Oreochromis niloticus: one gene and its partners. The protein of the gene in region 2 purifies or fractionates together with the protein of the main gene of each other region. This does not show direct contact. Links are inferred from orthologs where the notes say so. Each region holds a gene or a part of one and is shown on either strand. Other genes may lie near its edges.

Evidence for each region. The genes of interacting proteins can lie anywhere in the genome.
Region 1: the proteins of exoc6 (region 2) and exoc3 purify together in Homo sapiens (affinity purification with mass spectrometry; 6 studies listed by BioGRID and IntAct, counting the BioPlex papers as one, with this or other methods). This does not show direct contact. The link is inferred for Oreochromis niloticus from reciprocal best matches to the Homo sapiens genes EXOC6 and EXOC3.
Region 3: the proteins of exoc6 (region 2) and exoc8 purify together in Homo sapiens (affinity purification with mass spectrometry; 4 studies listed by BioGRID and IntAct, counting the BioPlex papers as one, with this or other methods). This does not show direct contact. The link is inferred for Oreochromis niloticus from reciprocal best matches to the Homo sapiens genes EXOC6 and EXOC8.

Annotation. Positions count from the first base shown.
Region 1 is NC_031982.2:272,449-280,443, reverse strand, and holds the start of exoc3 (exocyst complex component 3), read right to left. Parts: upstream 3,656-7,995; 5' UTR 3,494-3,655; intron 2,382-3,493; 5' UTR 2,324-2,381; coding exon 2,180-2,323; intron 1,929-2,179; coding exon 1,709-1,928; intron 1,584-1,708; coding exon 1,411-1,583; intron 709-1,410; coding exon 496-708; intron 96-495; coding exon 1-95. UniProt on the Homo sapiens protein: Component of the exocyst complex involved in the docking of exocytic vesicles with fusion sites on the plasma membrane.
Region 2 is NC_031973.2:28,333,703-28,342,036, forward strand, and holds the start of exoc6 (exocyst complex component 6), read right to left. Parts: upstream 3,531-8,334; 5' UTR 3,489-3,530; coding exon 3,343-3,488; intron 3,332-3,342; exon of another isoform or gene 2,321-3,331; intron 1,540-2,320; exon of another isoform or gene 477-1,539; coding exon of another isoform or gene 1-476. Other genes in the region: zinc finger protein 862-like, read right to left, coding at 1-476. UniProt on the Homo sapiens protein: Component of the exocyst complex involved in the docking of exocytic vesicles with fusion sites on the plasma membrane.
Region 3 is NC_031980.2:18,418,938-18,427,177, forward strand, and holds the start of exoc8 (exocyst complex component 8), read right to left. Parts: upstream 3,656-8,240; 5' UTR 3,518-3,655; coding exon 2,365-3,517; intron 1,271-2,364; coding exon 1,017-1,270; intron 584-1,016; coding exon 335-583; intron 1-334. Other genes in the region: DNA-dependent metalloprotease SPRTN, read left to right, coding at 4,399-4,730, 4,868-4,967, 5,169-5,297, 5,581-5,863, 6,572-7,593. UniProt on the Homo sapiens protein: Component of the exocyst complex involved in the docking of exocytic vesicles with fusion sites on the plasma membrane.

The DNA.
Region 1 (7,995 bases), on a different chromosome or scaffold from region 2:
GTTATTTCTAGAAGACGAACCAGCCACATTTTATCAGCCTCTCTTGTGACTGCTTGTGTGCCCTCAATGCGGGTGCTGACTGTACCCTCCAACACCTGCAACAGAAATGCACCAAAGGCTTCATAAATGCTCACTGGCTTTGAGGCTGTGTCAACCATGACTGCAAACATAGGTTTAAATGAGTCAAAGAGGTCTCCGTAATACACCAGTCCTGCAGCTGACAGAATACTAACCATATGGTCAGAAATACAAAGACTGAAATATTTTATGAAAATAGCGAAGATAAAAGCAAAGGTAAATTTACAGGCAAATTAAATGTAAACAAGTTTTGGATAAGTACACACAAACACATGATTGACTGATATGATTTAAGAAGAAGAAGGAAGAGGTGGCAGGTACTTAAAAAAAATAAAGATGTGGAGAGTTTTCAGACCCTTTGAAATTGTTTCTGTTGATTTTTCTCTCAGTAGTTACAAAGTATTATTCTGTTCTGACCTCAAACATCTTTTCTTTCCACTTTTTGGGTCGCCCAGGCGGGATGAACCCAGTCTGCTTTTTTCGGTCAACCATACGCCGATCAATCTTCTCCTCCCGCTCAATGATACGAACTACTGACACCAGCATGGTGGGGTCACGACGAACTGTTACCATGGACCGCTGCAGTACCATCCATAATTGTTTAGCCAGCTCGTCTGACAGTCCCTGAACCTGGAAGAGAACAGAGAGAGCGAAAGCTTTTTGAGAGGCTTCTGTACAACTACTAATGTTGAACCAGGCTATATTCTTAATCACGGGAGTTTTTTGGTCTGGTTAAAAACAAAAAGAATGAATGCAGGTTTAAGGAACTGGTGTCACTTCATGAAGCCAGGTCAAACTTTTTTAATCATAAACTGTATTTTTTTAAGCACTTAGTATCTGCTAGTATCTAACAATCTGAGATTTTTATTCACTTTTTTCAGATGTAGCTCTTTTATGCCTTTTCAATGCCAAGTTTTCAAATGACAAAAGTACCTGTGCTGTGACCATGTGTGACTGACACTGACTTGTCCAATGAAATTCTTAAACAAGGCAGGTAATCTATGCCAGTTGACCAGGGGTGCACAAACTTGTAACCCAAGAGGAGAATTCCAAGCGCCAACTGGAACTCCGCTTTGCATGTATTCATTTCCTGTACAAGGAAGTGAATACATGCATATTATTTGCATGAACTTTAAGCACAATGTAATGGAGTTTGACCACAAAATGTATTCTAGCAGGCACGTGTGCGCAACCACACATGTAGTCTGAGCAAACTGTACTTATTTATGACGTTTTTTTGTATTTTGTGATGGATTTTATTCCAACAACATTTTTAGGGGGACGGCTGCCACTGGTCCAACTCTCTACATCAACTTTGCTATGTTCGCTTACATCTTCAAAGTAGATGGAAATGAGATTCATGTCACTGGTGTTCTTGCTGTCCATACGGTACTGCTCATACATGAGGTCATCACGTGAACACTCCAGCTCCATCAGCTTCCTGTGGGCCTGCAGCAGCTCTGCCTGTTCTATCAGCTGCTGTGTCTCTCCCACTATCTCTGGCACTATACACAAAGCAAAGGAAAAAGACACCCATGGCTGTAAAAACCAAGAGCAGATAAGGTTTCTATAGTAACGGGATGTTGTTGGCATCTTTTAGATTGAAGTTTTTAGGTTTAGCTAAACTTACCAGAGAAGATATTTTTTAGGTTTTCCACAGCAGCAGCCAACTGGCTGTGCTGAACTACAGCATCCTTGACGTCTTTTAGGTTTTCAATGGTGTTAATGCTCTGCCTCCAGTCTTTACTCACATCAGCCAATGAGCTCTGGATATCTTTGACATCTAGCAGAGCACTGTGCAGCTGGGTCAGTCCAGTCCGAACACCATCCAACTGGGACTGAATGGCTGCCTGAAGAACATCAAGGACCATCAGGAAACAGATTCATGTTCAGTATCATTGTTGAATTACTGTGACTTAATAACGTTGTGCTATATACAAATGCTTTGCTTTCTTGTTTACCGTGTATCCATTTACTGTGTAGATTAATAATTAATACAGTCGCTATAAAAAAAGCATACCTTTATCTTAGCTGTTATTAAATACAAATACTAGACAATGCTAAGAAAACAATAATAGTACACACAGATGAAACACATCACCTTGAGCCGCGCTTCCACTGACGCCTTTTTACGGGCCTCTCGTCTTCTGTATTGCTCCACTTTATCCAGCTGGTCTGACCTCTGCAGCATCCCTGCCACACGCTGCACTGCAGTGGCAACTGCCTCCCTGCTTGTTTCCTCCATTGTCCTGCTCAGGAAATAAGGTGTCAGGTGTGTCCAAAGGTTTCCACACAAGGACCTGCTTAAAGAGAAAAATATCGAAAGGGTTGATCTTTATGTAGTGCTTTTCTAAAACACATTTAACCATTTATTCAATGCAATGCTTTGCTTTACAAACTTTAGCACTCATGACTGCTTTAGATACCTTGATTAATGTGGACATGAAACCCTACGTGTATAAAGGCTAATTTACACTATAAAGCCCAACTCTAAAAACTGGCATAAATTTTCACACTGTCTGTGAAGCTGGATTTAAGAAGTAAGTTTTTTAGAACATGTTTAGCACCATCTTGTGCCAGTAATTCAATTCAACTTAATTCAATTTGATCTACAACATGCTCTTATCACTGTGATAAAATTTTGAACGCTGTAGGCCATAAGAAGATCATTTGTATCCTTCTCTAATTCTGTTAGAGAAGGATACTGTGCTGTGATGAGCTCTGAAACCTGACTGAAACTCTTCAAATAAGCCATTCCTCTGCAGATGATCAGTTAGCTGTTTAACAACTACTTTTTCAAGGATTTGCGAGATAAAAGGAAGGTAGTCAGCCACTGGTGTTGGGGACTGTATGCTGCGGCTCTAAGATGGTATTCCACTTGTGAAGGCACATACATCTTTCCAAGGTCCTGTTTATAAAACCAATAATGCTGTGCAATTATTGAAGGTAATGTCTAATCCTGACACATCACATGCACGTGAATGTCACGTCCATTATTTTCTTCCGGTTATCCCATTCGGACGAAGGGGCGCTGGAGCTGTCACAGAGCAAGAAGCGGACTAAACCCTGGGCAGCTCTGTCGCAGGGACAGAAAGTCATTTCCAAATGACTCTGGCACAGCCTTTGTCTTCTTGACAGTACTTCATTGGCAGACACAGTTAAATGGCTTCTGTGGTCCTAATGCCCCGCGTAACGTTAATGCAACACAATAAAAGCTAGTGTTGTTTTTGCACTGACAGCTATAGCACCACATTCGAACACAGTCGTGACTGGATCAAGTATATAAATCAACTCTAACGTTGAAATGAAAACAGATGATCCAACGTAGTAAATGCATGCTAAGCTAACAACAGGCGAAAACGACCCAGTGTCAGCGACAATAAAACAAGCTAGTTCTTCAGACCCGGAAACTTACCTCACTTAAGGCAAACCCAGAGGGAAGACAACAACCATATCTACCAGTATTAAATATATTATTATTTCAACTAACACAGCCTTTGTTGTCGTTGTTCAACTTCCTGCTTCCAGCAGCGCAGGAGACGCCTGCTGCTTCTTCTTCTTGGTGTTTATTGGCTGTTGACAAACAACGAATTGGTGAATACCGCCACCAACTGGTTTGGAGTGTGGATCGGAATGTCATACAAATGCGTTTGTCTAAGACAATTAAATATGGCCTGGTAACTTTTGCTTCCTCATTTATTTCTAAGTAAATCATTTAAATCTAGTTTAAGTTTAAATCAATTCAGGCTTTCAATCAGTTGTCTTGCTTCTTCCTCATACAGTGTAATATAACATTCTCTATTGTCTCATCAATACTCACATTTTTCATTGCAATGTTTCCCTAAAATGAATAGTGTGCCGTTTAGCCCAGTGTGCCGAAATCTGAGATGTGATGATTGTTTTTTTTCTCCTCCATCCTGTAGTTTTCATTTCTCCAGTTTTCTTTGGATTTTATAAATCCACCATCCTGTCCTTTCTTTCTCCCACTGTTTTTGTCATCTCTCCTTCATTTTGTGTTTGTGTTGTATTTTTTTATTTTTTATTTTATTAAAGCTGAACAAAAACAGTTTTTGGTTGCACATTTTTTATGTGTAATTCAATCCAAGTAGAGCACGATTTAAAAGCACAACTTTGACGTGCTGTACAAGGCAACTAAACACACCACAACAAATCAATGAAAAAAGTAGGAAACACATTTTCTGAAGAAACTGCAGTGTGAATGCTGATAGCTGAATGTTTTGAGCTGAAATGAAATAACTGCTGAATGTTAAGTTAAAAATGTTGAATGAGCTGAAAAATGCGGAATTTTTCACCTGAAAAGAAAAGTGCAGAACTGTTGAGAGCTGACAACCACAAAGAAGTAGCTGAACATGTTTAAGATGTAAATTAAAAAGCTGAGAAATGACAAAAGAAAATTTAGAGTCAGAAAACATCTGAATGAATATTAAAAGTTCATATTCTTTGAATCACTGAATAACTGAAATGTGGGAGAATTCACTACAGACAGGTAAATGCTGTAAGTTTTAACCATTCAGTCAGAAAAGATGATTCTAAAAGTCATCAAGTGACTCCAGCAGCCCAGATCTGAACCACCTGTGTGCAGAAGAGAAATCCACCAATGAACAATAAGCTTGAATTTAACGGGCCAATCAGAATGCTCTATCCAGCTGGCATGCACTAACCCAGGGGTGGGCAACTCCAGGCCTTGAGGGCCGGTGTCCTGCAGGTTTTAGATCTCACCCTGGGTCAACACAGCTGAATCAAATGATTAGTTCATTACCAGGCCTCTGGAGAACTACAAGATATCTTGAGGAAGTCATTTAGCCATTTGAATCAGCTGTGTTGGATCAAGGACACATCTAAAACCTGTAGGACACCGGCCCTCGAGGCCTGGAGTTGACTAACATTGCACTAACTACTGACATACTATTATTCTGTGGCAAAACCCTGTCAAATCTGCCTTACTGCACCTGTTGAAAAACTGCATCTAAATCCAAGACCGTAACTCCTATCAAAACAGCCTTTGAACCGTGAGGATCCCGACGACTAGTTCTACACAACAGTGTGTTCTTTATGTTCCTGCTGTCAAAGAACGTGGTCACAGAAGTGATTTAAAAACGTGAGGTCTTTTCTGCTGTTGAGACAAACTCCTGAGTGAAAATAAAATATTTTTCTATGGGTTAGAAGGTTATCTCTCTACTTGGATCCACACAGTTCAAAAAGTTTACATCTCTGACCTTTGAAAGACACACTGTTGGAAAGAGAACAACAATGGCTATGTTTTGAGGTTTAAATGATGGCTGTGGAGCAAACACTGCGCACACAGCGGCTGTTGAAACAGAAGTCTTTAAGAGTAATCTTGGGAGATTGACAAACAGAGCTTATTAAGGAGGCAGGTGTGAGCCTGGTTGCTATCCGGTCTTTAAGTGATGACGTGGTGAACCCTACTTCAGAGCCCGAACGACTCTGCGTTTATTAAGGCTGTTGTGTTCTTAACAAGTTTTAATGCTTTGTATCTTGCTCTATTTAATCTCCACGAGCCCCTAAAAACAGTAAGGCAACAGTAAGTATCACTGTCGGCCTCTCTCGATTTTTATTACCACTGTTCATCATAAAGCTCCGTTTTTAAAACCACAGTCCAGCAGTTTGCTGACATCACCAGTCAGGCTAGAGCTGATATCACCAGAAAGGGCAGATGAGAGCGGCTTGCCCCGGCTGGGCAGCCAGAACAGCACCACCAAGGCCGGAGATTGAGCAATACTGAAAGAGCATTTGGGAGAAGGACACAGTCCATAACAGCAATGCTCAGTGGCTAGTGAATTTTAGATCAGACCACAGCAACCTCCCTGAATAGGGTCCAGTAACCATTACAGTGGCAGACATCCAAGAGTAGGCCTCCAGTATGAAGAGTTGGACATCACCAGGCCATGACATGGTTCACGGCTTAAGAAGGTTGCACTCCATAAGCATCTGGCAGCACAAATGAACCATCTGCTAGTCGGCGAAAGACACCCGAAATGAGTCATGACTAACCGACAGCCGGATGGTGCTGATCCTCAGGGACTCCAGGAGGGGTCAGTCCCATCCAATAACCTGCCTCAGTATCACATGGAAGCTCTTGTCGGGCATCATAGCAACTAAGATGAACAGGCACCACCACCACTATATCCTGTTGGTTAGCTGAACTGGCAAGAATACCAGAGGCGTAGACGGACAAAATGGTGGCTAACCAACATCACCTGTCTGGTGATGTCACCTAACCAACAGGATATAGTGGTGGTGGACAAGCGGAAGAAGACGCTACAGTTATCGATGTAGTGATACTAAGTGACAGCAACATCAGGAAGAATGAACACGAGAAGCTGGAGAAGTACCAAGGGCTCAAAGAGGAGCTTGAGAAGATGAGGAAGGTGAGCACTAGATGCAGTGCATCCCAAACTAGGCAGGGAGTTGTAATTAGGGGTCCCATCTTAGTTTTATGGAGTGCCGTGTCATTAATTTACATGTGGTCATTTGCAGTGTATAGATCCCCTGTTAAGTGTGGTGACCAACCATCCTCTTTTCCCCTGACATGTCCACTTTTCACGTTCTCTCCAGGGCGTCCGGGGGGATTTTCGAGATTGATGAAAATGTCCGGGTTTTCCTACAGAGGACCCATATGTGTGACGTCATCCTCGAGCTGCAGCTTTGTGAGTTGTTGTTCTGCCACTGTGCTCACAGACGGGACAGACAGCGCGCAGCAGCGGGCCTGGTGATGTTTAAAAGATGCCAAAGCACAAATGCAGCTTTTCAGACAAATTGCAAAATTTCCCTCATACCGTCCCTGTACTGGTAATTTGTCTTATACAGATGAGCCCTTATTTCAGTACCATTATTTAATTTCAGAGGTTTTTAAGTTATTTTTTTTCCCTTGTTGACTTGTAAAAGCCTATGTGACATTTTTGTTTCACCATTCATTAACCGCACAGAGAAGGCATCGTTTAAATATGTTAAAATTTTCTTTAAGCAAACAGTATTATTAAAGTTCTTCATGACTGGGCCAAGTGTCCTCTTTTTTGGAAATCAAAATATGGTCACCCTACTTTATACTGGTGTGGACAGATTTGTCCTCCCTGGGAACACAGCTCGCCACTGTCACGGTCTGCGGGAGGCAGACCGAATGGAGAATGAGTGGAGGACTCAGGTGTGGACACTGACGAGGAGACGGAATTACTTTAACGAAAAACCAGCCTTTATTTGGGGCTGATAAGAGAGCATACAAAAATTAAGTAAGCAAACTGGTAGAGCGCAGACTAAGAAAACTATGACTAAACTATTACGAGACTGGAGAGACTGTGAAAGCTATGAACGCTGAAAATACTCTAAAACATGAAGGGACACTATGAAGTCTAAACCTAGACATGGGGAAGGGAACACAGACGACACCACACTGAACACAGGAAGACTGAGGGCTTAAATACACACACGAGGTGATCGGGGGAAGTGGAGACACATGAGGACAACAGCTGACTGGAATGAACATAATGACGCCTCAGTGGAAGTGAAAGCTAAGTACATAGAACATGGAAACAAGACTTCCAAATAAACAGGAAACATTACAAGATGCAGACATGACATAAATTTAACCAGCACCACAGAGACATAAAGCATGATTTTCAGGGCCAACTCTTGATACTTGAACCCACATAACACAACCAGGAGTTTTTGCAAATCGCTCTAACACATTAATTTGGCAGTCACAAATTAATGAAGCAGGGAGACTTAGAACAGGGGAGAAGACAAAAGGATCTGCAAAGCAAAGGACTAACACAGCAATCTAGGCATCGTAGCACTTAATAAGGTAAACTAAACTCAAAGCAGAACACGAATAGAAAACAAAATACAATAAAACTCAAACACTGGGTCACACGACCCAGT
Region 2 (8,334 bases):
AATTTTGCCAGTGGTAGTTCACTCTTTGCAACATAGTACGCTGCTCTAAACAGCTTTTTCAGGACTTCTTGTTGTGCTTGGTTTATTTTTAGTATGGTTTTTGCAATTGGTGTTTGTTCTGGGACAGATGCTGCAGACTGAGCACCAATGCATTTCTTGTGATGCAGAGATTTCTCATGAGTTCTGATGGGGTCTTTCCTAAAATTACTGGTCCCAGTAACAAAGGTGCTTGTCGACTCAGAAATCGAGGGAAACTCACGACACACCCGGCAGGACATCATGTTATTTAGCTCGTCATATTCCAGCCACAGAAATTCTTTTGTCCATGAAACCAAAAAACTGCGCTTTCTTTTTGCCTCGTAGTCTGATTTGTCGTAACTTTTCCGCTTTGTGGTCGGCCTTTCTTTGCCTGTCCCTTCTTCATCCTGACCTGTCTTTTTTGGCTCAGCAGAACTAAAATACCTGCGTAAATCCATCTGTCTTTACACATGCCAGTGATTTTTTTTTTTTAAATTCTCTGCGCAATCAACCTCTAGCACGTTTAAGCTTGCTGCGGGAGATTTCACTTGCCACGTTTGAAGAGTAAGCTAGTAAGTGATGTTGTGTCCTGTCTGACTATACCATATTGCACCACTAGAGGGTGTTGTCATCAAATAAGAGGAAAGTGCAGTCGGGAAACTGTAGAGTTAGCCGTCTTAACTATATTCTAACTGATAACTCGATGCGTCTCCGTTACCTCTACGATGTAAAGTTATGTGCTGCATTCATTAAAGAGCACTGTTCTTTGATGAGGACTGGTTTATTACCTGTCGCTGCTACAAATGATAACAGGATTGCCGAGGAATTGGTGCGCAATTAATCGTCACTCACCAATCAATACTGCCACTCTCTATACACAGTTTGCGCGATCGCAAAGTGAAACTGAAGGTAAAAAACAAGCGCAAATTCAAATGCGATTTCAATACGGCAGATATTGACAGAGGCTCATCGATGCCAATGACATAATTACTCAGCTACATTTGCGAAAGAAAGCAAAGGCATTGACATATATTTTCCCTTCCTATGATAGCCCGACGGGCAGGGCTGAGATAGATTTTGGTAGCCCGACTGGAAATATCGCTAGCCCCGGGACGTCGGGCTAGCGATTTTGCGAGCCCTGCAACCACTGATCCAACCACAGGCATTTCTGGATCTAACATTTGTTTTTGGTGCATTCACACATAAGTTCATGCTTTTGAAGTCAACATGTATGTGAGGGAGCAGCTACACTGATCAATACTGAACTCATAAGGGGAAAAATAGACAGCAGGCATTTTTGGCCGTTGGCTTGATTTTAGTTTCGGGTTTAATGAAAGTATGATTTGCAGAGATGACAGTTTATTCCCTCAACTTTTTCATCCATCCATTCCCTTCCGCTTCTCCTTTTCAGGGTCGCGGGGGGGCGCTGGAGCCTTTCCCAGTTGTCTTAGGGCAAGAGGTAGGGTACACCCTGGACAGGTCGGCAGTCTGTCGCTATCCCCACTCAACTTTCTATTACATCTATTGTTTTGGTGGATTAAAGAACGCTGTGTTAATGAGGACATTACTAAGAATGCAGGAGTCAAGCCATTTTACACAAACTAGACTAAACATGTTAGTAAAATTATTAAGATTTATCTGTGTTTTTGGTTGAATTCAGCAAAATTTTTCATTGTGGCTTGTTTACACTGGCAGATTTGTACAGTTCATCTTCTCTCCTGTGTTTCTGAAAGTGGGACATTACTTCCCCAGTATCTATTTTGTATTCTTTGTATTTCACTTGCACAGTATGTATTATGGAGGGTGACCAGTGCTGCCTTAATGGTTAGCGTGTTTGCCCCCCTGCTTCACAAAAATGGTCTTGGTTATTGGCAATCTCAAGCAGGATAACAGAATAATTAAATTATGGACATGACGTCCAACACTAGACCCATAGTGCTCTGAAAAGCGACGTGCCCTGCCTCCTAGGAGCAAATGCACTCCAAAACAAGTGAATCTATGCTAGAACAAAAGAAGAAGACCTTGTGAGGATGCTGAAGGAAACAGGTACAAATCTTTCATTGAAACAAATATGCCAACATAACCTGCATTCCTCAGCAAGGTCAGATTGCAGTCTACAAAAAAAGACATAGTGAGGACATGTCTTTGCCTAAGTCCTCTGGTTTATCCTTAATTACTGTTGTAAAGAATGAAGCTACAAGGACAATGCTTTCAGGCTGGCACAGGTCTAATGGTGATTTATAAGACTGAACATGAGTGCCAAGTGGTAATGTTAATACTGGAGTAACTGACTCGCTGTTACCATCATGAAAAGATAAGTCAGTCCACCACACAACACCCAGTGTTTATAACTCTGTCCCCTGAGCCATATAATAGTCCACACCCAGGAAAGGCCTGTGCACTGCACTAGAGCTGCATTTGGAAAAGAAGAGCACGTTACTATCCAGGAAATATTTACTAATATTAGCTATAAGAAAAATTCAGTTTTTAGCCTGACCCTTTCAATTAGTTTTCTTATTATTAGTAAGCTCTACAGTAAGCAAAGCAAACCCCTATGATCACTGACAGCACGTCACTGTCATTTTACAACACCCGACCAAGCTGCCTAGTGATGAAGAAAAGACAGCGTCACCGTAGAATAAGAGATGAAGACACACGCTGAGAAAGCTAGATAGCATTGTTACCTGGAGGGTATGAGAAACAACCATGGCCTACAGGCACGTCTACAGGACAGGTGTGACAGGTGGAAGCATTCAACTAATGTCATTCACTGTGGCCTCGGAAGCTACTTCAGGCATCTAATTGCCTGAAATAACCAGTGCGGTGTGTTAAGGAACGTCAGGCTGAGCAAACCGGTGTTCCAGAACACCGGCATCCTCTGTCACTACCAATTCTGTCGCCAGAATAACACAACACCACAGGATCAGTATTCTTATCCGCTCGTAGCATTCGTTTTATTTTAGCTAACAACTACCCAAAATCGTTACCTGTTAGCCGTTAGCTAACTCAAGCTGCACAACGACGTAAGGATGTGAAGTCCCACAGCCACACCCACAAATGATGTTGACATTTTTGACAGGTCACTAGTCATCCATCCTTACACATAACCTAAAAAATGACCACACAGTCACCGCTGCTAACACGACAGCTAGCCTCATTCCTCATTTCAACACTATCTAGACTGTTGGCTAAAATAGCCAGCGCTAGCCTGCTACTGGGTAAGGCTAAGCTAGGTCTTAAACAAAAGGTGTGATCATGTAATACACAGTGAAAAACAGAGGACCTATATCGCTAAGGGCATTTTTAGAAGCTATATATCCTTACCGAAGAGTAGGACCGACACAAGCTGTGTCGGTGCTTTCAATTTCCTGTAAAATCCGCTCGTGCTCCGTTATGCACTCCAGGGTTTCACTGTCCGCCATGATTGTTATGTGCATATTACGGCTATCACTGCAGCTACAGCGGAGCATAGGTCAGTGTGAGGTCCGGCCTGTGGGAGGCGCACTACGGTCGTCTTGACCTCGGCGATTGCGGCTTTGTTTCCGCATAGCCTGTGCCTGGTTCCTCAACCACATGGAAAACCACACGGGTTTTGACTGTTTATGATCTTATCATAAATACTGTATAGCGAGTGGTTTGCATGGTTAGCAGTAAAAAAACAGGAAAATAATTTGTACTGTCATTCAAACGGTACTTGCAATAATAAAGATGCCTGCTATCAAATGAGCTTTAGTGGCTTTTATTTGATTAATCTCAGTTCTGCTGTAGATACATTTTAAATAACAACATACAGAGGAGGTTATTTAAATCTTTATGGTGTGCAAGTTTTTTATTTGTTTGTTTGTTTTTGTTTTGTTACATCAAGATACAATTCTGGTTAAAGCCTGACAAATAATTCACACTGACGCACACTGACGTTAATAATACTAACCCTTTTTCACATTAAATGCTTCTGTAATTGAACTCACAGTTTAATCAAATCAAACGCAGTTTGCATGTGTCCGCTAGCTTCTAAGTGCGTTTTTTTTTCCTGCTCTTGGTATTGAGATAAACCAGCGTTTTAAATGTTGTAATTCAGCTAAATCAGTCCACCTTCAGTTGTGTTCAGCAGATGAATCTTGGGTGTGTCTTGGAGTTTACCTTAAGGTGGTTCCAAGAGGTAAGTCCACAGATTCCAACTCTGCAAAAATATTCCCAAAAGCCTTCTTTTCTTCTTCTTTGCCTTCTCCTTCGCTTTGACCAGGCGGGTCAGGTAAAGCAGCATAGATCCTGTCACTAGCCATTCTCTCTTAGTGAAGTATGTCTTAAGTATGAAGACTAAAAATCTGTACGTGTAAGAGAGGATATTTTGTGTGTGTGTGTGTGTGTGTGTGTGTGTGGAGTCGTGCAGGACACCTGCTGTGGTCAGCAGAAAAAAAGGGTGCAACAGGAAAAAGAGACCTTGTGATTCACTGAACTTTGAAGCCAACAAAGCTAATTTCAGCTGTTCTGTGTTAGTAACTGTGGCTTTTATTCACCTCTGAAAATTAAAAAGACAGTCATCAAGCTACAGTTGATGTTGCAGATACAGGGCCTGATTTCTTAGTTAGTTGTCACACTTGTATACTGATCAAAATGTAATATTATAAAGCTTGAGGAAATACAAAACTACAAAATGCAGTTTGATGATGATTTTAGTTGTTAAGGAAAAAAAATCTCTCCAAACCTCCCTGGCCTGATGTGACAAAGTCATTTTGCCTAATAATAACTGTTGTATTAATAATATAATTAGTAATAATATCCATGAGGGATAACCACTTGTTCAGTGACCTGTAAACCACAGAGCTCCCTTTTCTGTCAGTTTGTTCAGTCTGTTGTTGTCAGCAGCTCCACCAGCAGACTCTCCACAACTAACTGATAGAAAAACTTCTCCAATATCTGCTGTGCATGTTAAAGGATTTCAGTTTCTTTGGGAAAGATAGACTTCCAGTTCAGCCTGGCTTCAGAGTGCAGAGGTGGCAAAAGTACCTAAGGAGAAATACACAGACTTGATTCAACTTCTTTACTGAAGATTACTTAAGATTAAAAATGATGACATCTCATCTTTAAATCTGCAGTTTATCAAGTGTCACGAGCAGTCATTACCTTTGAATATAACCTCTCTTATTCCGCTCCTCTCATGTCTTTTCTTACATTTTCTCCATATATGAATGAAATTTGCTCTCATTTCTCTCCCTGGAAATCCAACATCTGGACCTTTAGCAACACACTTTGTGACAAACTGCACATGAACAGTTTGTGTGTTTGCTGATGTTTGTTGAGCTGATAGAAACATTGTACAAATGTCAAACATAACAAATGTTATGCCGTACAGAGACATTACAGCCTGGACTCATTCCTCTTCCGTAGCGCTAGCTAGAAGCTGGCTACAACATACCTGCACTTGTTCCAGCCCACTTTAACCACTGAGTATAAACACTAGACGATACCGCTGAGCCTAAAGTAACTAGCCTGTTTTGAAAATTTAAGGAGTAGAAAGTACTAATATTTGTGTTAAAATGCAGGGAGTAATAGTGAAAGGCTGTCAAAAAAAATAACTAGTAAGTAAGTATTTCCAGTAAAGTACAGATACCTGAAAATACCTGAGAAGTATTTGTACTTTGTTACTTTCTGACTCAGTCAATGTGGATGTCCAGGTACTTTTACTCCTCCACCACATTAATATTATGTCTCAACACAGACACAGTGTATGTGTCCTCTTCCCTCACAGTTCCTCTGGTTTTATTCACATTCAGATGATTTCTGTCAGGCCACTTCACAAAAAAATCCACTAGTGTTCTGTAGTTACCCTGGATGTCAATTATGATCAGGTGCAGTGTGACGTGGCTGGTAGGATAAGGTGGGAGGCTGGGCATGTGGACGCCCAATATCGCAGAATGGCATTTGGGATGTGAGCTGGAGCACTACTGACTAGATATAGTTTGTCTCACCTCCACAGGTACCAAGGGTTTTGGAACAAAAGTCTGGCAGATGGGACTCTGGATTTGTCCTTTTCTGGAGTATCCAATGGTGTTAGGTGCTGAGGGGATGCTTTCAGACCTCTGTCCTACACACGGGTTGACAGACTGTAACATTTGATCTGAGGCTGTGGACACTTGGGTAAAGAGAGCTCCCTGTTGGCCACACGACAGGTTTAGATGAAAGTCACCCTGAGATGCTAAAGGCTCTGGACACTGCCTTGGTTGACATACGTCTTTAATGATACGTGGAGGTCTGGCACAGTGCCTGTGGACTGGCAAACCAGGATGGTGATTCCCATTTTCAAAAAGGGGGACCGGAGAGTGAGCTCCAGTGGTCAGGGTATTACATTTGTTCCAGGAAAGGAGGTCAGTTGTTGAAACTTGGACCCAGAAGCAGCAAAGCAGGTTCTGTCCTGGCTGTCGAACCCTTGTGGGACATCTGGAGGGATAACAGGAGTTTGACCATCCAATCTATGCGTGTTTTGTGGATTTGGAGAAGATTTTCCTGGGGGTACCTGTGGGTGTTTTGGGGTCCAGCACACTGCTATGGGACATCAGGTCCCTGTAAAACTGAAGTGCAAAGTCCTGTTTTTGATTTTTCATGGACGGCATCTCAAGGAGCTTCCAGGGTGACGAGGGCGTCTGCTCTGAGAGTCTCAGAATAGCAACCTTGCTTGTTGCGGATGACATGGCTCGTTTGGCTTCATCAGAATGTGACCTTCAGTACTCACTGGAGTGGTTTGCAGCCTCACCTGAGCCTGGTTCTGCCAGACGTTTCTTCCTGTTAAAAGCAAGTTTTTCCTTCCCACTGTCGCCAAAGTGCCTGATCATAGGGGGCCATCAAACTGTTAAGGTTTTCTCTTTTCTCTCTGTATTGTTACAGGGTCTTTATCTTACATTATAAAGCCCCTTGAATGAAATTGAATTGAATTAAATTCTGTTGACTACAGCCTATTTAACAATATAAGCAAAGGTCTTGCACATTAAAAACAACCTAAAACAAACAAACAAACAAACAAACATCACTGTTTTGGCCGATTGTCCCTTCTTTGCACTGCACTTGCAGGAGAGCAGCATGACTCCTAACACTGTGCATGCTTTTTTCTTTTTTTTAACTAAACTTGACGTGAGTATTTACTGAACCACAGTCTGACAGTTTGTCTGTTTACCACATATAACGTAAAGTCCAAAAACTTGTCAGACTCGCACACCGTTTAATTAATGTGATGGCAGTTAAGTGTGGCACACATACACCACACCACCTCTCTCCACAAGCAGTGGCGCTCTGGAAACCATGTGACCAATAAGAAATGAAAAACAAACACATGCAGGTTACAGGTGTGACACCTGTTAGGTTAAAGATAAAGAGCCTGTGTTAGATGTTAAGCTAGTCATTCCTCCCTGTGCATACATGAATCATAGTTTCCCCATAAAAATATATTTTGAATGTTTGCATTTGTTCACTCCTCAAATAGTATGGTTATAATTTTAAGCTTGCTTCTGTGGGTGATTGCACTTGACTATGGAGGCTTAAAAAAGCATGTATTTGGCATTACACACTGTGGAAACAGTACTCAACACTTCATCACAGTGATAATGTAGTTGGGCAAAATGAACGTTCTCAAATACTAATGTTACCTAAAACTACACAGTGTAAATGTAAATGACTACTGCATTCTATACAAATACAAGGAAGTGTGTGTGTGTGTGTGTGTGTGTGTGTGTGTGTGTGTGTGTGTGTGTGTGTGAGAGAGAGAGAGAATATTGTAATGTTTAAATGTACTATTTGATTGCAATAATAAAACTCAGCTCAAATGATTATGGTGTGTGGATAAACACATGGTGGCACAAAAGGTTACCATCTCTTCTTAATATTGTGGGCAAGGCAACAGGCCTCGGTCAGCTTACACAAGAACTTTCTATTTCCTGCTATTCTTCTTGGAATTGATTGGCCCATTAGGGCCAATGACATCTTTACAAAAGCTACAACTATGAGTTTCCTTATTACCCAACCAAAAACAAGTACTGGGTCACTCTCTCTCTCTCTCTCTCTCTCTCACACACACACACACACACACACACACACACACACACACCAGCAGTTGCAAAAAATGGCTTGATATTACACAATGGAAATGAAGAAAGCATACATAAACATTTAAGATGACAGACAAATGCAGCTTAAACTCTCTCTCTCTCACACACACGCACACACACTCTCTCTGTGACACAATAGCACTGATACTGTATTACTTTATGAGGCGTGTTTAATTTGAGTTTCTGGCATTAACACATTTTGAACACAGCAGGGAGAGAC
Region 3 (8,240 bases), on a different chromosome or scaffold from region 2:
TTACAACATAATTAACTATTATTTTTGGTAAATGTAGTATTTACTTTATAAAATGAGTTCCCCACATGACAAGGTTGTGCTTTTATTGTACAAGGAGCATGCAAAAAACCCCAAAATATAAAATTATATAAAAAGGAGCTTAAAAGCCTCACAGTGGAAAAATTTCAACAGTTGAATCATTTAAGCAGATTAATACCGGATTATCAAAGGTTTGGTTTCTGTTACTCAATTTAGGAGGTTCTTGGTTAAAAACTAATCAACAATTGAAGAAAACAAAACACTGAGTGAGAAACCATAAGAACCAAGAGACAAAACAGAAATAATTCTGATCCACCTTAAGTTTAGCCAAAGCCTCAGGAGTCATGAGGTTCATCCTCCTCCACATCTCCTCAGAGTTTCTGTGTTTCGTGGCCTCGATGATAATATCTTTGTAGCTCTGGAGCGCTGCCTTGATGTCTTTGACCAGCAGGGACTGCAGGGTGAAAGTCAGGTCCAGGCCGATCTCGGTGAGCTGCTGACAGTGTTCTTTAGCCACTTTCACGCACTCCGCTGCCGTCGACAGGCTCTCCTTACTGTCGAACACCTAGCAATGAGGAAATAAAAAAATTTACTGTATTAAGAAAACTATACAACCATAAATTTAAACTTGCACGCTGCATGCTCTGGCTGCCATTTAAGAGATCCTCTTGTGTTGCAGCAATACTTTTCAGTTCTTTGCCCTTCTCAGATGGCTTTTTTTTTATTACTAAAAGAACTCAAATTTTTTATACACCTGAGATCCAGAAGCTTATCCTCTGTATACCTAGACACATTGTTGGTTATTTGCGTATTTTAAACCATTAACACCCAAAAACACCACCGGAACACACAAATATTACATCGTGTCTCAGTCGCTTAGTATGTTTTTGGCTATAAACAATAAAGAATATACAAATGATAGATGTTACATATCTTCTAATCATAGGGGACGTACCTATTACTCATTTTAGGGTTTTACCATCTGACATTCTAACTACCTGCTTGCTGAAGGCGTCCACAAACATCCTCATGGCTGATCTGGACCAGACCACGAAGGCAGAATAGCAGCCTGTGTTCCCGGCAAAGTCCATCTGAAATTCCTTGGCCGTCTCCAGCAGGCTGGTGAAGAATATGTTGCAGAGTTTGTGGATGTAGAGCAGCGTGGCTCCTTCAATGCGAAGCTGCCGTATAGCAGTCTGCACTGCAGCGGCGCGGTTCTTCAGAAACAGCTCACAGGCTTTAGTGGACTGGCCTGAAACACAGATGACTGTGTGATGAGACAGTACAGATGTTCATGGCAATTACATTGTCTTTTTGCAAATACATGCAAACTGTGATGCATTATGGGAATCTGAGGGCCTTTATATTTATGACTGCAAATGTACAACATGTGTAGCTATTTCTCAGCTGATTCTGGTATGTTTTTTAGTATATGTCTTGAAACCTATTAAGCTAAATGGAAAAAAAAAAGTCAATTAAATTTGAGTAAAGTGGATGGCAAATTCTCCTTGAATATATAAAGAATACCTGGGAGTGAAGGGACAAAATGTTTAGAAAATAATTATGGGAGATATTAAGAGAGTATTATATGTTAATAGTTAACTGAAATATGAACTTTTGTGATTTTTTCACATTGCCAAAGCGATCCTACCTCAGTGTCTCTCTCTTTCCTTTTGATTGAGTTTTAAAATAGGTTTATACCCTACATACTCCTGCTAAAGGATAATGTTTTGCCCGAAAAAGGTCAAGTACTGAAAAATTGCAAATAAACATGTTTTTGCAAATCAGTCAGTGTGTGGGAGTCTGTTTGCAAAGCTCAGGCATAATTAAAAATGGATCCACTCGAAGCTGTTCTGCACCAAAGCAAAATACAAATTTCTAAGGCTTTATAACATTTGGCCATTCAAGAACAATTCTGACAAAAAATAAATAGTAAACTATATATAAACTATCATGAGGTTAGTTCTCTTAGTGCTCTGAATAGGAAAGTTATTTTCTTAATTAAGTAGTTTGAGAATATTCACCTTGACTGAAGATGAAGAGAAAAACAGTGAATACGTACAGATCACCGCAAGCACAGCTTATTTGTCTGAAAATTACACTTTAACTGCATCCAAGGTCGAACTCGGACAACAAGCAATTTGAAAGTCAAGTCCATGCAAATGATGGAAGAGAATGAGCTAAACTCCCTGAATAATGAACAGTGAATTGTGGAAACCCTGTGAGTGGGCTCCTTACTGTGAATACACTGAATATAAAGTGAGATCTAAGCAGACAGGTGTTATTTGTTTTGGTGATGTGTGCAAGCTTGTTATTATTGAGGAAAATACAAAAAAATAAAAGGACCTAGTCTGATGAGCTGGGAAACAGCCCGCCGGGTTGCTTTAGGACCGCCACGAAGTGACCGATCTGGAGACAACTCAAACACCAGGACCTCTGTCAGCTGCCGCACACGTTCATCCACCTTCCCCCTAAGCTCTTTAACCTTCGGGGTGACAGGCTGATCTCTGAGATACTCGTTGAGCTTGTCCAGCAGGTCAACAGCACCCTCGAAGTCTCTCTGGGCAATGCACACGTCCAGATCCTCTGGCAGCTCCTGGATCCACTCAAGACTAAGATTCACGCTCTCCTCACCATCAACCGTGTCTTCATCGTCATCCATATCAAAAGGATTGGTGGATACCTCAGCTCTAACAGGAGAAGTGGGGACCTCCTCCTCCTTCTTGTGCCTGTCTTTGGAGACTTTGTTTTTCTTGGTTTCATCTAGGATCTCCAACCACTCTTTCTTAACTTTGCTGTTCTCTGCCTGGAAGATGCGGCTGTCTGGAAACATCAGGATCTTGAACATGTCCTTCATCGGAGGGTTGTCTTTTACGTTAACCACAGCAAAGCTCTCCAGGTCATACAGAGCGTTGTATTTATACTTAACCGTGCCACGGCGGTTAGGCAGCCAGGTGGCAATCAGCAGACAGTCATTCATCAGGAAAGCATGCACCTTCTGAATGGGGGACATGTTGTCAACATCAAACTCTGCAAGGTCCCCATTGTAGATAAGGTGCCTGCCTGGGGTGTCCATGATGTTTTTAACCCCTTCCACTTTCTCCAACAGTGAGGTGAGGGTCCTCTGCTTCACCTCCTCCGTCTCCTTGGGAAAAGCTGCCTGCATCTCTTTAGACGTCTCATCCTTATCTGTGGACAGCAGGGCCTGAGTGATACTCTCCATGATGCTCTTCTGTTCAGTCAGGATGTGGCTCAGCTGGTACATTTCGCTCTCCAGATAGGAAATCTCTTTGGCAGTTTCGATGAACTGTCTGTAGTTCTTGTAAACATTTTTCTTCAGATTTTGAGCCGTTTCGTCCGCAAGGTTTTGGATTTTTTGTCGGTGCTCCTGCAAATCCCTGTCGCCATCGGACTGCTGTGACAGCTGCTTGACGTAATTTTGCGGGTCGAAATTGGGCGATTCGAGCAGCTTCCGTAGTCGGTTCCCCGTTTCCGACATCTTTTGCCGTGTAACTGTTTACTTATTGAGATAAATTGTTGAGAAAATATAGAAAAAACTGGACAGAGAACTAGTTTATCGAGGCTCCTTGGTTCATATCCGCTTGTAGTCTAAACAGGAAGTTGACACCCTGGAACGTCACGGGATACAAAAAAATAATAAAAACAATTTTAAAAAATCTAAATGATAATTAGTCGTTCATAATGGGTCTTATATTTATTTTTAATATAATTTAACATATGTTAATGATTTATATTAGAAAGCCGTGTTGCTTTTATTTATTTAACTGGTGGAAACTACTTGAAACGAACAACACTACAGTTCCCATAATCCATTGCCAAGACCTTCGCTTGACTATTCTATCAAGTTTATGGTAGTTACGCAAAACTAAACAGGATGTAGCATTTTATAAAACGAAAGAATGTTCCATTTTTGAAAAAAGATATTAGTGGATGCTACAGAACGCATATGCAGATAGTTTGATATTTTAAACTTATACATCAAAACAAAAAAGAAAATAGCCATATTGAACTCAGGCTTTTACTTAAAACTTACTTAGTCGTTTAAAACTGACTTAGTTGTTTTACTTTGAAACCCGTAGCGGAATTTATTTTGTCCTATTGTGACAGACCTGATACACGGATCTTCGCGCTAGCTTTGGTCTGACGGTTAGTAATATGAAAATGTTACTGAAAATTTCATGACAGAAAGTATTTGGACACGTATTGGTAATTTGTCAGACTACATTTTGAGACGACGTGATGCTACCGCTTTTTTGAGACCTGTACAAACTGCATTAGCTAGTTGGCGCTAACACGCTAACCAAAAAGAACATAACAACAAATATCATCAAAACAACAAAAAAACTTTCCTCTCTTGTCATGGATGAGGATTTTCTGCTCGCTATTCGGCTGCAGGAGCAGTTTGATCAGGAATACCGGGCTTCATTATCTTCATCAAGTGGTACTATAGATAATAGTTTCGGGCAGAGCAATAAGAAACGGAGAGTGGAGGTAGCTGGAGGTGGTAGCGATGTTGTTCCCTACTGGAAACCGAATCCCCAGCTTGAGAGGCCACTGTCCATTGTGGACGAGTCCTGGGAGATGCTTGACCCTAGCCCCGACATCAGGGCCATGTTTCTGGAGTTCAATGACATGTTCTTCTGGGGTAAACTCAGCGGTGTGGAGGTGAAGTGGAGCTCGAGAATGACCTTGTAAGTCATGCATGTTTTTGTTATTTTTAACTCCCACAAACTTGTCTACACAATAACACCTTTGATTTTTGTATGGGATTTGGTTTGGCATGTCTGTAATGTGTCCTGCTCCTCTTTTCCTCTCTTTCTTCTCTTAGGTGTGCTGGAGTTTGTTCTTATGAGGGTCAAGGTGGACTGTGTTCAATCAGGCTGAGTGAGCCTCTGCTGAAGCTTAGACCCAGAAAAGACCTGGTAGAGGTGAGGTGGACCTGAACACCATTCACATCAGAAACACTGGGAAAGGGCTTGTTGTAGGGGCTGAAATTTATACAACTATCATTTTACCTCCCTAACCCCAGCAGTGAATGCGTGACAGTGTGATAGATTAGAACTTGTAATCCTTAAAAAAGAGGACAATTTTCATTTTATTAATCAGTTTATTTTCACTGGTTGCCACAGACCCTTCTCCATGAAATGATTCACGCGCTCCTGTTTGTGACACAAAATAACCGGGACAGAGATGGCCACGGACCTGAGTTCTGCAAACACATGAACCGGATCAACAAAGCCAGTGGGACCAAGATTACTGTAAGTATATGTTCTTGAGACATATTCAAACTTATTCTGTTTTGTGGACCACATATACATACAAACCTTCAAATGTACAGTTGTATTCAGAAGTTTACATATAATCATCATGGACTTGAATGTCATAGGAATTTGGGGCTTTTAATGATTTGTTTGAACTGCTGTTCAGGGTGCAATGATTGTACAGCAAAGTAATCAAGAAACATTTAAATTCATTTTGGATTTTCTCTAATCTCTCTCTTTCATAAACTTATGTCTTGCCATCTTTCCTTCCTTTCATCAGATCTACCACAGCTTCCACGATGAGGTTGATATGTACCGGCAGCACTGGTGGCGGTGTAATGGGCCCTGCCAGAAGCGTAAACCCTACTTTGGCTACGTGAAGAGAGCCATGAATAGAGCTCCTTCTTCTCTGGACCCTTGGTGGGAGGATCACCAGAGAACATGTGGTGGCACATACACCAAAATCAAGGAGCCTGAAGGATATGGCAAAAAAGGCCAAAAAAACAGCAAGACCTCAGAGAAGAAGGCCGCAGGAAGTGGCAAGCCTTCAAGTACGACTACAGGTAACATGCCCGTACACTCCTGTGTATTAAGCTTTAATACATTGTGCCAACAAACTAGAAAATGTTGTTCATATTTCAAACATTTTAAACATCAGTGAAAAATGTTCTTAATTTTTTGTGACAGCCTCAAAACAACAGTCATGTTATGCTTTGATGCCTGACTGCTTTTAACCGTGAATAGATTGTTTCCACTGAGTAACTTGAGCATGTAAAATCAATTTAAATCAAATGACCCCCTGCAACAAAACATGCAGGAAATATAAAGAATGGTATTTACTGAATTGGCCCCTCAGAGACTCTCGGTTGACCCACTGGACAGCTTTGGAAACATTAAGTGTGTAATTACTACACAATTAATAATAATAATAGTAATAATAATAATAACAGTAATAATAATAGTAATAATAATAGTAATAACTTCTTTACACTTTCAGAAAGAGGAGTTTCACTGGTTAGGCCCACTTAAGGTCAAAATGGACTTTATGTGGTCCACAGTGTGAAATGAGTATGACACCCCTGATTTAGAGCACCTGAAGTGATCACTTTACATACACTGACTTCATTGTCAGAAACTCTGGTCGTGTATATAAAAAGATATAATATAAGAACTGAAATTAAAGAAAAAGCAAACCAGGTCCACTTGAACTAAGTTACTGGATTTAAATACATTGCATGGTTGACTCTAAATTGTATCATTTCCTGTCCCAGGTTCTGGATCACAGGATATAAGGGACATCATCCCATTTAGTGGGAAAGGCTTCATCCTTGGGGGGAAGTCTCAGGACTCAACGTCTTACTCGCCATCTCCCAGGCCACCACTTCCTGTTGTGAAAACACCATTGTCCAACCCTGTCCCCTCCCCAAAGAAGTTCTTCACGCCATCGTCCCCGCCTAAAAGTCTCTCCTCTCCTGTTCACTCTAACAAGACCAATGGGATTTCCAACACTTTTACCTCAGTCAGACCATCCACTTCCATGGGGAGAAAGCCACCTGTAAAGAGGTCTGTCGGCAACACGACGCACTTTGTCAACATAAACGGTTCACCAGTGAAAATGCCAAAATCCCAGAGCAGTAGTAGCAGCCAAGGAGGAGATAAGAGCAAACAGAGTTCCATTGACGACCTTTTTAATAGCACAAGCCTCAGGAAGTCAGAGACCAAAAGAGACTCACTGACATCACCAAAGTCTTCCACAAATGCTGCTTCTGCCTCCTCTAGATTTCAAAAACAACAAAATAATCATTTGACTTCCTCTCCCAGCACACCCAGTCCCAGCCCTAACATAACAAACCATTCCAAGGTCTCATCTGTAGTTACAACTGGATCCCAGGGTAGCACTTCAAGAGCTGTACAGTCCAAGGATTTTACTAATTCTGACAGTGACAGCACATCAGCGGCTGTGGGTAGGAATCGGACGCCGAGAAAGAGGGCGTGGGATGACCGCAGCAGCTCTGCCAGCATCTTTGACTTCTTCCAGAAGACCTTAGGCAGCGATTCAGCAGCATCGAAGGAATCAATAAAGGCAAAATCACCAGCAGTGCTGCAGAGAACTACCAGTGCCACCACCACACCCTCTTCTGCTTCTCTGCAGTCCTCAGCAGGACTGCACAGTGTTGCCTCCTCCTCGTCTTCATCCTCCTCCTCCTTTGCAGTGATGGTCAGTTGTCCAGTGTGCCAAGCAAAGGTCCAGGAGTCAAAGATCAACGAGCATCTTGATTCCTGCCTCTCTTGAATAAGGAGGTGAAAACTTCCAGAAAGTCAGAATAAGTTTGATGTTGCACTAAAACTTTTTAACTTTTGATGTTCAATAAAATTTTATCCTTGTTTGTTCAATAAGGCATGGCATAGTCATTTTAACTATTTTGACTATTTAAAGAATGACATTCTCCTACTTTATATCACACTGATTACTTCTGCAGTTTCACAGCATGTCTTTCTGTCTGCTGTAACAAAATTCCTCACTGAACTGGGCTGCATTAGAAAACTATGACAGCAGTGTTTTGCGGAAGAACGTCAGTGTGATATTAGCAGTTATGGTTCGAATTCAGAAACCGCTTTGTCTTAGTCTACAAAACCTACTTTTTGTCTCCTCTGGAAGTGGATATTATTGATTTGTGGTTCCTGCAGTGGGATGTACCCCCACCCCCCCAAACCTCAGGTCTGCATCTGCTGCCCTTCAGACAACAGGAGACGCCGTCTGATCTCTGCTGATCTGATCTGTAGGAGTCAGGTTTCGCACTCGCTAGCTATTTATTTCTGCAGGTCATCACATTTGCACTGCACCCAGCCTGCGGGGTCAGGTGGTGCAAGGACATTTGAAAACACTTCACCATATCCTCAGTACAAGAAATACTTGGATGACTAAAACATTACAGATTT